3 linked regions of the Xenopus tropicalis genome follow. The protein of the gene in region 2 interacts with the protein of the main gene of each other region in a biochemical or structural test. Links are inferred from orthologs where the notes say so. Each region holds a gene or a part of one and is shown on either strand. Other genes may lie near its edges.

Evidence for each region.
Region 1: the proteins of ago2 (region 2) and tnrc6a form a complex in vitro, tested with the Homo sapiens proteins (2 studies listed by BioGRID). The link is inferred for Xenopus tropicalis from reciprocal best matches to the Homo sapiens genes AGO2 and TNRC6A.
Region 3: the proteins of ago2 (region 2) and dicer1 form a complex in vitro, tested with the Homo sapiens proteins (2 studies listed by BioGRID and IntAct). The link is inferred for Xenopus tropicalis from reciprocal best matches to the Homo sapiens genes AGO2 and DICER1.

What each region holds. Positions count from the first base shown.
Region 1 is NC_030685.2:20,145,475-20,149,623, forward strand, and holds part of tnrc6a (trinucleotide repeat-containing gene 6A protein), read left to right. Parts: intron 1-245; coding exon 246-392; intron 393-1,191; coding exon 1,192-1,326; intron 1,327-2,728; coding exon 2,729-2,848; intron 2,849-2,961; coding exon 2,962-3,036; intron 3,037-3,142; coding exon 3,143-3,341; intron 3,342-3,446; coding exon 3,447-3,578; intron 3,579-3,864; coding exon 3,865-4,023; intron 4,024-4,149.
Region 2 is NC_030682.2:146,787,757-146,791,905, reverse strand, and holds part of ago2 (protein argonaute-2), read right to left. Parts: intron 3,776-4,149; coding exon 3,591-3,775; intron 2,816-3,590; coding exon 2,656-2,815; intron 1,699-2,655; coding exon 1,608-1,698; intron 1,469-1,607; coding exon 1,274-1,468; intron 1,165-1,273; coding exon 1,030-1,164; intron 455-1,029; coding exon 353-454; intron 1-352.
Region 3 is NC_030684.2:88,588,185-88,592,333, reverse strand, and holds part of dicer1 (endoribonuclease Dicer), read left to right. Parts: intron 1-722; coding exon 723-936; intron 937-2,119; coding exon 2,120-2,282; intron 2,283-2,469; coding exon 2,470-2,652; intron 2,653-3,276; coding exon 3,277-3,382; intron 3,383-3,470; coding exon 3,471-3,646; intron 3,647-4,149. UniProt on the Homo sapiens protein: Double-stranded RNA (dsRNA) endoribonuclease playing a central role in short dsRNA-mediated post-transcriptional gene silencing.

The DNA.
Region 1 (4,149 bases), on a different chromosome or scaffold from region 2:
ACCATGTTGCTTAGGGCAAACAAAGGGTGGTTACAGATGATTAGTAGACATGGTTGTTACTGCTCTGGTGGTGGAATATTTTTTAACTTTGCTTTGCACATTCTGCTGACTGTGTTCTGCTTTTCTCTCTCTCTTGCAATCATCCTGAATGCTTTTGTGCTTCGCCCCTTGGATCCTGCCTTCATCACATTCACCCTTCTCTACTGTTCTGGGCACTTGTGCTTTCTTTATATGACCACCATCAGGATGGTATTGTATCAGAAGAGCCGCAAAGCATGCAGTTTATTTCCAATCAGAACACGAAGCTTCCCCCTTTGAATAGTGCACTATCTTCTCAGTCCCTCAGCTCTTTCCCAGGGCTGGGAATGCCAAACGTCAATTCTGTGAGACAGGTGAGTCTTTCAAATCAGGCCACAACTTTAGGAATTGGTCCGTCAAAGTTATAGAACCACTGTATAAGTCAAGAGTTGTGTGTTCTTTAATCCAATGCAAAATGACTCATAGGAATTGCACAGTATTACTGTGCATAATATTTACTAACAGGACTGGTACAGGATCCTTTATCCAGAAAGCTCAGGACCTGGGGTTCTGGATAAGGGGTCACCATGGATCACCATATCTTAAATTTCCTAAAAACTAATTTAAACATTAAGTAAACCCAATAGGATTATTTTTCCACAGTAAGCATTCATTTTCTTTATTGGGATCAAGCACAATGTAGTGTTAATAATAATAATTAATAATAATAATAAAAATAATAATATTATTTTTAGGGTAACCATTTTTATAAATCTGAATTATTTGCATTGTAATGAGAGATGGCTTTTCTGTAATTCAGAGCTTTCTGGTTAACGGTTTTCTGAATAACTAATCACATACTTCTGTCTGACTTTTAATTGCTGCGGTGACATATATAAACCATACCTTTTTTTTCAGCTCTTCTTGTCAATTTGTTTATTAATCCTCAAAAAAAAAAATAATTACCTGTTGGCAGGAACAAATGAGATTACAGAATAGAGTGGCCTTTTACTTTGTGGCTGTTAGCTCTCGAGCCAGGTAGAGCTTCATGCTTGTCGGCTTCTCTTAGCACATATGGGACTTCTTTTCTTTGAACATGTTTGTTCTTATGTACAAGTGTCTCCGTAAAATGTGCTTGTGTGCTTAATTTGTATGTATTTTCCCCTCCCACAGAATGGCAATCCCAGTATGTTTGGTGTTGGCAATGCAGCACAAGCCAGGGGCGCACAGCAGCCTCCAGCACAATCTCTTAACTCATCTCAGCCTAACCTTCGTGCGCAAGTGCCTCCTCCCATTATACCCCCTCAGGTTTGTTGCTACTTTTGCATACGCTTGTCTTATAATGCATGTTACATAGGTACATTGTAATCACTTATGCATGGCCAAGCAGTGTATTGGCAGGGATTTGTATTGTCTGCCTTTTAATGGCATCCCTTAAATCTCATCTGTGGCCTCTAATGAAAATATAGCAGTTGACTTTATTAATTAGATTTGTATGGCTTCATCCCTATCTGTTTTGCTTTAATCTATGGAAAGGGTAGTGCTAACAGCAGGAATTGCTGGGTCTATGGAAATTGGGCAACAAGCGATGATGTATGGCTAATAAAAAAAAAAAAAAAAAAAAAAAAAAATATATATATATATATATATATATATATATATATATATATATATATATATATATATAAGGTGGAAATTGCTTTTAATACCTCCTTATAAAAGCATTGCAGAGCAGTGACCCCTAGTGGTAGATCAGTAGGATTTTGATGAATGTGGATTTGTGTAGTTTTCATATGGTCATAAGTCTAATTCCAGCTGACTGACAGGAGCATAATTCAGTGCTGACTTGCCCCTTTTGCCAAGTCAGGTTTTTTACTCTGCTGCTTCTGGATCTCTCGGGCGATAGGAGTGCAAGCATCAAAAGCACACACTTCGTGCTGCTCTTCTAGCAATTAGAATTTGTAGCTAGGGTCCAGGTCTGCCCAGCATGTTAATGTGACAAGTACCCTTGTATGGTTGAGCAGAGCTAATGAGGATCTTTGCTTGAATGACATAATCTATCTGCACCTTCACTGCATTGCAGTTTACTTGCTCTCCCTCCACTATGTAGGCTTGGTTCCTTCCTTCTCTTCTTTATAAAATGCATCACTAATTTTGTCAGCTTTACTGCCTTCCAGTGCCTTATCCTCTCAGAAGCTCCACTTTCTCTAGCATTATCCCTAGTTAAAATATATACACCACTTCAATTTAAATACTATAAGGATCCCTTATATGGAACATTGGAACTACAATACTGTTGTGGACTTTTCTGATACATTGAACCAGTGCCTGCCTCTCTTCTCTTCGCATGTGTGTGAGATGACTTTCCTGGATAGCAGTGTTTTCTTATACATCCATCTGCTGTTGTAATGTTTGGTTGTATTTGTTTAAGGTGTCTGCAATGGTCCTCTAAACTGATATAAGGATACTTTCCCCTTTATATGACATTATATGAGAGGGGCTTTGTACAAAAGAAATCACTTGTTACAGCAAAGCAAACAATTTTAGTAAAGTTTGGCCAAAAGAATTAGTTGTCAAGGAACAATATGGCACACCATACATAAAACCTATAAATGTAAATTCAGCACCTTCTGTATGTATGTTTTTGTTTTTACGCACTTGTTTCCATAGCTCATGTCCACTTTGACACAATTTTTATTTTCTTTATCAGGTTCCTCCTTCTTTACTGAAGTATCCGCCAGCCAATGGTGGTCTGAACCCCCTTTTTGGCCCCCAGCACGTAGCCATGTTGAACCAGCTTTCCCAATTAAACCAGCTTTCCCAGCTGCAAGTAAGTTGGACTAATCGGTCCCCATCCCCTTGTACAAAGACCGTTTCAGGAGCTGTGTGGTCTTCATTCACCCTTTCTCCATGTTTGTAACTGGCCACTTTTTCTTCCCGCAGAGGTTATTGAATCAGCAGCAGAAGATTCAGAACCAGAGGGGGGTGCCTTCAGGAGGTCGCCAACAACATGAGCAGGTATTTCAATGTTAAACGAATCTTAGTGTTTGTAATGTGACAGCTGCATTAGTGGGGTTTTTATGGTTTTGTCTTTTTCTAAATATTTTGTTTTTGATCTTTCAAGGCCCGGTCTCTTGGTACGCAGCAGCCGGCACGTCAGCTTGATCCCAACCTGCTGATGAAGCAGAGCATTTCTCAATCACAGCAGCAAATGCTTCACCAGCCTCCCATGAAATCCTTTCTGGAGAATGTGCTGCCCCACTCTGCCCCTGAGCTACCAAAAGTCCCTTCACCAATCAGTTCTTTTGGTGGCTTCCCTTCAGGTTAGTGATGGTTTTTATTTTATACATGGTTTTTGTGCAACTGCTTTATTATAACAACTGTTCCTTTAAACAGCATTAAATCAAGGAAATCTGTCTCCTTTTCAGGCTTGAACTCAAATTCGAATGTAAATATGGATCTCGGAGTTGTAAAGGAGCCACAGTCACGACTGAGGAAGTGGACAACAGTTGACAGCATGTCTTCTAATACTTCTCTGGATCAAAATTCCAGTAACCATGGTAAAATTTGAATGCATGCTAGTTTGTGTTTACCTTAAAGAGAGATTATCCTTATAAAGAAGTTTGTAACCCATGGAAATTCCATGGGTTCTCTAGTCCTGACTCATGAAACTGTGTAGCAGAAGTCAGTTCTATTGCAGGTTTGTTAATCAGTCATCCTTTGTCTCTAATTATGCAAACTCTGTAGCGGCATCCAGATGTTTTTCCAAAATCTGACACAGAGCAGATATTCCCTGCCTCGACCATTACAGTAATAATCTTGTGTGTTTGCAATTTCTTGCCCTAGGTGCTATTTCAAGTGGTTTCAGGCTTGAAGATTCTCCTTTTGGTTCTTATGACTTTATGAACAGCAGTAACTCTCCATCCAGCCCTCCAGGATCTATTGGGGATGGCTGGCCTAGTGCCAAATCGCCAAATGGCTCCAGCAGTGTCAACTGGCCCCCTGGTAAGCAAAACCCCTGATATTAACTTCATTTTTGTTTGAGTTCCGTGGTCTACAGCTGTAGCTCTTTACACTGTTCTGTGTAGAAAGACTTAAGGCAGTCTGAAATGTTGCATTTGTCTAGAGGCT
Region 2 (4,149 bases):
ACCTCCATGAACTTTCATGGTGCTTGTGTTGCTCCCCGAGTCTTTTCACATTTGACTTTGGCTCACGAGTAAGAAAGGTTGGGGAACCCTGTGGTAGGGAGTCTCTCAGAGATAGAATAGCTCTGGAAACAGCTTGAGAGCATCATTCCACATCTCGTCTAGCTCAGGAATATTTCTGCCATTTATTCTTGCTTTTCTCTGAGGGCGAAAGGCCCGTTTTAGAGAGATATCAATGTTTTTTTACAGCATTCTAACTGTACATTATATTTACTATTATTTTTTATATGTCTCTCTATATCAAATCAAAGCATAAAGAATGACCAGTAACTTTTGTATTCAACAAAGGACTTACCTGAATACCAGCGTGACTGCACAGGTAAAAATCAAACTCTGATGGGTGGGTGATCTTTGTGTCTACGGTGGTACCGGCTGGTATATTTCCACTCTTCCCTACCTATGTGGAATAAAAACAAATCAATTGTGAAATACAATTCTGTTAAAGCAAGTATCCCTTCCCATACATGCAAATAAAGTCTGATTCTGAAGTACTGGTATGTACACAGTATGTACACCTTTGAATTTTCTCTTCACCACCTTATCTCCCAACAAACCTCAGCTGATATCTTGCATTAATGGATTAAATTTTCCTGCCTGATCTACAAACAGACCTCCACAGAGACTGCTCAATATTGTCTGGCCAGCATACACAAACTGAAAATCTTAATTTTTTCTATATATACACATGTATGGACAGCTTTATGGCATTGGTAAGAAGCATTTTGATCTTGGGCATAGTGTCATGTTGGCGACATTCCTCTATTAATGAAGGTTGTATTCTGCTATCCATTTCCTTTTGTCCTTGGGGCACTACAAACATGCAATTATATTTCTTGTGTAAACAGAAATAAGTCCCCTAATGGTCCAAAGGTTTTCAGATCAGAGATGCTAACAGATTTAACAGCACATTAAGGGTATCAAGTCATCTGGTAAAAACATATCAGTCTTATATACAACCTGTTTACTACTTACTCGCTCATTTCGGTCTGTACAGAATAGCCGTGTGTGATGCCTTTTTTGCACTACAATAAATGTAATTCCCGGCTGGTAATCCTTCTCCAGTTTAATACAGGCTTCCCTAATGGCCAGAAGCTCATGATGGAGCACCTGTAGATTGTGGAAATCAGGTATTCAGTTAGCTAATTTTTCTTGTATCTTTGATACATTCTTGCATTTAAATTAAATTATTATTTCTAATAAAGTAACCTAAAGAGACCTGTTGAAACTGTCCTTCCGAGACACCGTCTCTGTAAAAGATGATTCTTGTGGGCTTGAAGCGTGTTGACTTGTAGAACTGGATAAGCAGCTCTCGAACCATGGCAGACAAATCCTGGATGATTTCTTGCCTGTGCTGCTGTACCCTCACAGTGGCACAGTATCGGTTGGGGTGTGCATCCATACTACCTACAACCTTAAATTAAAAATAAAAGAATAAAGTCCATTAAAAAAAAATACATTCTGGTATAGGGAATGCATGTAAAGTAATCCTCAGTGCGACTCTTAAGGCTATCATAAGTCGCACTAACTATGTAAATATTCTCTATGCTCACCGCAGCAATTGAAGGCTTTTTGCCGTCCCCTGCTGGTGGGTGGGTAACATCAGCTCCAAGAAATATGACAGGCTGTTGAAACACAGGAGGTCTGCAGGAGAAATGTGTGTGTTACAAAACAAATAGCAGTATGACAACAATCAGTGAATAAAATGTATTCAAAGGCAAAGATTGCATTGATAATAAAGAAATTAAGAGGCTCTTCGAATAAATTCACACAATATTTGTATTTCAGGCCACAGACAAGAGCAGCCTAATGGGCTACAACACATAAAGTGCTTTCTCAGTCAAGGTGGTTTTTCTGGCCTAATTGCACTCCGTCAAATGAGGCTTGGGGGTCTTAAAGGGGTTGTATACTTTTGTGTTAACATTTAATATGATGTAAAGACTTCATTGGACTTTTTTAATTATATGCTAGGGATCAAATAACCCTAGCAACAGTGGTTTGAATGAGAGACTGGTATATGAACAGGAGAGGACCTGAATAGAAAACTAATAAAAAGAAACAATAAAATGGTAGGCTCACGAGATCACCAAACAAGAGAATCATTCCCTTGATATGCCCACCTATGGTGGGCGATAGAGTAAACTGGAATAGGATCCGTTGAAGTAAGGGCCAAATCAATGAGCTGGTACGGTTGCCAATCTGACGGAAAGATCAAATATGCCTGATCGGGCACTTTTTGGCCAGATCTCAGTCTGTTGGCAATATGAATCTGTCTGAAGGACCCCCCCAATTGGCAGCTTAAATCTACCTGTGTAGGAATTGCAGGAATTAAATCTTCCTTTAGGAATTGCACTCCCAGTGATTAAAAATTAGTAGGGAAATACTGGCAAATTAGTACAACTACATGTGTTTGAAGGATTCCAGTAGGGATATAATACCATGGAAGGAGGAGTGAGGAGCTTGAGGGGGGAAAAAAAAAAATACATGACGAGGGTGAAAAAGCAACACTAATAATTATACACTCAATTCTTGATATTTCTATTAGACAAAATGTGAAATAAAAGTATGACAGCCATTCAAAATTTATATTTGACAACTTACCTGCCCTGGGGCAACAAGATGTTATTGACGCCTCCTAATTTTACATTGATTTTTAAGCACAGGTTAGACAAGGTTTGTGGTGTGGTCCTCTGCACATTTTTCATCTGAACACACTGAGTAGCCATTCCCAGAACAGTGTCCCCCACACGTTTCACTTCCGCTGTAAAACAAAAAAAAACTATGCATGTAGGTTCTCTTTCAGATGATAATACCCTAAGATTATTAATATTTTCCTAAACATATACATACCCATACACATTGATTTGTGTTTTCAAAAGATTAAAGGGCATGTCAACCCCCCAAGTTTTTTGGTTTTTTTTGCCTAATAAAAGAAAACATAATTCCAAGCAACTTTCCATTGTGAATGTATTGAACATGTCAAGTTATTAGTAAATGTAATTGCTATTGAAAGCAGCATTTGCTGAACTCCTGGTTGTTACTTTTTAAACAATGTTGCAAAGATCAGTCTCCTCCAGCGAGTCAGGCCTGTCAGGCTGTTGCCTTGTGTTACATTGTTTCATATGCCAGAGCCCCCAGGGCAGGGAATAGAAAAGGACACTACTTCTAATAGCAATTATAAATACAAATAAGTCAAAAACCATTGCAATTTTGTCATGAATGTATATTGCAAAGTTGTTTAGAATTAGGATTTCTTTTATTACTCAACAAATTGTATTTTTTGGGTTGACTTTATTTTTGACTGGGAATGATGTTGACAAATGCTGATTTTAATAGTAAGCTGTTAATGTTTTGGAAGCAGACATGCATGTCTATTAATCTTTTTTTTAAGTATGAAGCTTTGGTAGGAGGGAGGCAAACAGCCGCATATACACAGGGTAAAACAGCCCAAGGGTAGTTATATTTGAAGCTGCAGAAGATAAAGTCCCTATGATCCAACGTATGACAAATGTGGTTGAATTTCAGTTTGTACTCACCATAGACAGGGGTTTTCCCAGGAAGTATTACAACGACTAGTTGTAGCCCTGTATAAGTATTCTTCAGATGCCTGAACATTGGCTCAACGCTATCTGCTCCCTGGGCATATTTGCAGAAACACGGCTGTCCCTGGATAGGCATCCCGGCATCACGTGAGATCTTCCTCAACTGTTCTGTAAATGTCCTGGTAAAACACCAAACTATAGTGAGGTTTTTTTTTTTTTTTTTTTTTTAAATATGTATTTATTAACTTTCCATTAAAACGGACATAACAGAAAATAAACATTGTAGGTTACTAATAGTTTGGTGATGACAAAACAAATCTGCACTCTGGCAGATTTTTTTGGCCTATGGTTGTACAATCACCCCTGATTTCCATTCTGAGCTATATACAGCAACTGGTTTACATGGTGACTCCTGGGGGGGGGGTGACCTTCGGTCCTGGTAAATTTCACAGGTTATTCTCTGTTTATGTAGAAATCAAGAAATCAAGCAAATTAGGAAACACCCTAACAGATGTTCCCCATCAGACTTCATTAGTATGCACCATTACCCAAA
Region 3 (4,149 bases), on a different chromosome or scaffold from region 2:
TCAGGGCAATTTTCAGAGCGGTCATTCACTGGGAGGAGCAGTTAACAGACCAAGACGTCTGAATCCAGTCAGACATTTGAGAAAGGCTGCAATTGTGGCCGAAACGTCAGTTCTCTGTTTCTACACTTAATAAACTACAATTTTGTTATAAGTCCTGAGCGATGCGATTCATATTTTTGTTTAATATATATATATATATATATATATATATATATATATATATATATATCATATATGAAAATAAGCATTACTTGGCAAGTTTTTAGTTGTTCCTATTTAGTTCACTGCTGTTCTTAATTGATGCCTTAAAGAACAAGCCATATTTAAAATGGGTTGATGGACCACTTTTATGCTTTTTAACTAGTTTACTTATAACTGTAAATTGGCTCTTTGTTCTTTACTAAGCATGCACACTTTTTATGTTTACTGTCCACATAGTATTTTTTCCATAAGCTTTATTATACTTTACAACTATTTCACCTGTAGTGAAATAGGAATACCTCAGCCATGTTTACAAATTGTATGCAGAGAAAGAGCAAGGAAGAAATAAACCAAACATAAAGTAGACTTTAAAACTTTTCACTTTTAAAAAGTGAACAGATGTTTGTGTTTGGCTGCGTCCTGTTGGGGCAGCTGTTTATGTAGGGCACACATTATTGATTGCAACATATTGCATAGACATTATGGTTCTGTTTTTTTTATATCTTTTCAATTTCTTTCAGATTCCTCACTTTCCTGTCTATACTCGTTCGGGAGAGGTGACCATATCAATTGAACTAAAGAAGTCTGGTTTTACATTAAACTTAGAACAACTTGAGCTCATTACTAGACTCCACCAGTACATTTTTTCACACATTCTTCGTCTTGAGAAACCTGCACTAGAATTTAAACCCACAGTAGCCGATTGTGCCTACTGTGTTCTACCTCTTAACGTTGGTAAGTAAATTTAAAGGCACAATCTTCTGCCGCTGCACAAACCTGCAAATTTATGGCAGGTCAGGACAGAGGAGACTTCTGTAAAGCTGGCCATACACGTGGCGATCTCACGATGTTTCGTACGACCGTCGGTCGCACGAAACATCGTCAGATCCGCCACACACCATTCAGGGCTGAATCGGCAGGTAAGGAGGTAGAAACAATAGGATTTCTACCTCCTTCTGCCGATTCAGCTCTGAAGGGAGAATTTTGGTCAGGCGCCTTCTATGGCGCCCGATCAAAATTTTCTAACTTGGCCGATCGGCGAGCCGACCGATTTCAGCAGCTTCCTGCGATATCGGTCGGCTCGCTGACATGCCATACACGCACCGATTATCGTACGAAACGAGGTTTCGTACGATAATTTCGGTGCGTGTATGGCCACCTTAAAGCATAGATGCTGCTTGGAGGGGTGGCTCGTTTAAGTTTGGGTTTTTTTGTTTTTTTTTAACATGTAAACAAAGTCCAGAAGAGAATTGTTTTCCATGTTTTTGATTACATTTTGGTATGTTGGGACAGTTAATTTAGATAACCTTTGAAATGTGCCTTTTTTTTTTTTTTTTTTTATAATCGATTATCAATTGCATGTTTCTGCACTGGGCACTTACAGATGATATTCATTCATATGACAGGAGGGGTAATTTTGTGCATTTTGTTCCCACCCAAAGAGCTATGAAATACTGAGAAAAAAATACACATTGCACACCATGTGCATTCAAATTTAAGGTTTAAACAAGCATTTAGATTTGAAGTGTTTTTAGATTATGTAATAATATTTTAGACTGTATGATAAAACTACTACAATGCCAACATTTTTCACAGAGCTGTACAACACATATTACAAACCTTTTAATTTGAAAAATTAAAAAAAAAAAAAAAAATTAATTCACAAGTCCTGGGTGAGAAATTTAATTTACCATTTATTGTAGGGTCACCTGTAATACCAGTGTACACAAGTGTGATATTGGTGTACCTGTCTGTAGCACTGTAAGTTGGGTTGTTAGTCATTTTACTATACAGTAAGGATTTGTTAATTTAATGCTTGAAAAACATTTTTATTTTTTTGTACTATACAATGTTTCTGAGCTTTGTAGCTTATTCTGTGAATCATGAGTTATTAAAGATTGAACTTTCATTTTTGTAGTAAATGATTCTGGCACTTTGGACATTGACTTCAAATTTGTAGAAGATATTGAGAAATCAGAAGCACGTACTGGTATACCTAATACACAGTATTCAGCTGAAAGTCCTTTTATTTTCAAATTAGAAGACTACCAGGATGCTGTTATCATTCCAAGGCAAGTAATGTTTTTTCCCTTTCTGCAGTGTTATCTTTTTCTAAAAATATTGCAACATTTTGAAGCTGATAAGTCTGATAAAATGTGGATCATAGTTTGTAATAATAGCAAAGCAACCTTTTATTTATTATTTTTAGAATAGCCAACCATGAATCCGATGTATTTCTTGTAATTCCTTTTTTTATTTCATTTTTAGATATCGAAATTTTGATCAGCCGCACAGATTTTATGTAGCTGATGTATACACTGATCTTACACCGCTCAGCAAGTTCCCTTCCCCTGAATATGAAACCTTTGCTGAATATTACAAAACAAAGTATAACCTCGATCTCACAAACCTCAATCAGCCACTTTTGGATGTGGACCACACATCATCAAGGTATGAAAAGAAAACATGCTGGTGTGCAAATACTTGTTATTTATATGGTAATATAATAGTTCTCTGTTACTATGGAACTGCAATGTCGTTGGTCATATGGCCAGGTCTTTGATGTTGGGATAAATTGATGGAGGATTGAAGCTCCTTTTCTTTAAAGACCTGTCATGTTTTGTTGCATTTGGGCCTACTGGGATGTCAAAATATGAGGGTACTGATAGAGAGAAATGTCCCTGAAAAGTTTTGTTGTGTGCACAAATGAATTATATATTTTTTTTGCATTTGTTCATACCATGTCTGTGTATAGGTCAGACCCCCTGCCCGCCATGCAGACTCAGTTATGTTGGGGGATGTATTTTGGAATTATGGATGTATTTTTTTATCTGAACCCAAAGTAACTCTTAACTGTATTTTAGCTTATAATTAGATTGTGCTATTGTGTATCCACAGCTCAAAAAAGTTATTGTTAGCTTAGAGTAGGCTAGCCATAATAAGTTTAGCTGTTGACATACTTGTGCTGTTTAGAAATGGAATTCTGTACATTCACCTTGGTTTGTTATTCTGTCTTCTGCCTACAGTAATTTTGGTTTTTTTCAGTAATTCATATATATTTTTTGTTTCTTTAAGACTTAATTTGCTGACTCCTCGCCATCTGAATCAGAAAGGTAAAGCTCTGCCATTAAGCAGTGCTGAAAAGAGAAAAGCCAAATGGGAGAGTTTACAAAACAAACAGGTAATGTGTTTAACTTTGAGACTATGATGGGATATCGTAGCCTTAATGATACTATTTACACATTTATCTGTGTTTTTCCTCACCAAAGATCCTGGTTCCAGAGCTTTGTGCTATACATCCAGTCCCAGCATCCTTATGGAGAAAAGCTGTTTGTTTGCCAAGCATACTTTATCGATTACATTGCCTCCTTACAGCAGAAGAGCTGAGAGCGCAAACAGCTATTGATGCTGGGGTAGGAGTCAAATCGCTTCCTGATGATTTCCGGTAAGGTTCCAGTATGTCGGTGGCAAAACACTAACACCAAAATTCCTGGTAAAACTAGTTAATTTTGCATTTGAAAGAAAATTAGATACAGGTATAAGACCTGTTATCCAGAATGCTCAGGACCAAGGGTATTCCGGATAAGGGGTCTTTCCATAATTTGGATCTCCATACCTTAAGTCTACTACAAAATCAATAAAACATTAATTAAACCCAATAGGATTGTTTTGCATCCAATAAGGATTATTTATATCTTAGTTGGGATCAATTACAAGGTACTGATTTATTACTACAGATAAAAAAGAAATCAGTTTAAAATTCTGAATTATTTGATTAAAATGGAGTCTATGGGAGACGGGCTTTCCGTAATTCGTAGCTTTCTGGATAATGGGTTTCCTGATAAGGGATCCAATACCTGTATTGGCTAGTAAAGTGCAACTATGCTTCATGAATGCTTTTTTAAATGTATTTTATGCCTCAGGTAAATCTTCCTGTGTGTAATTTTT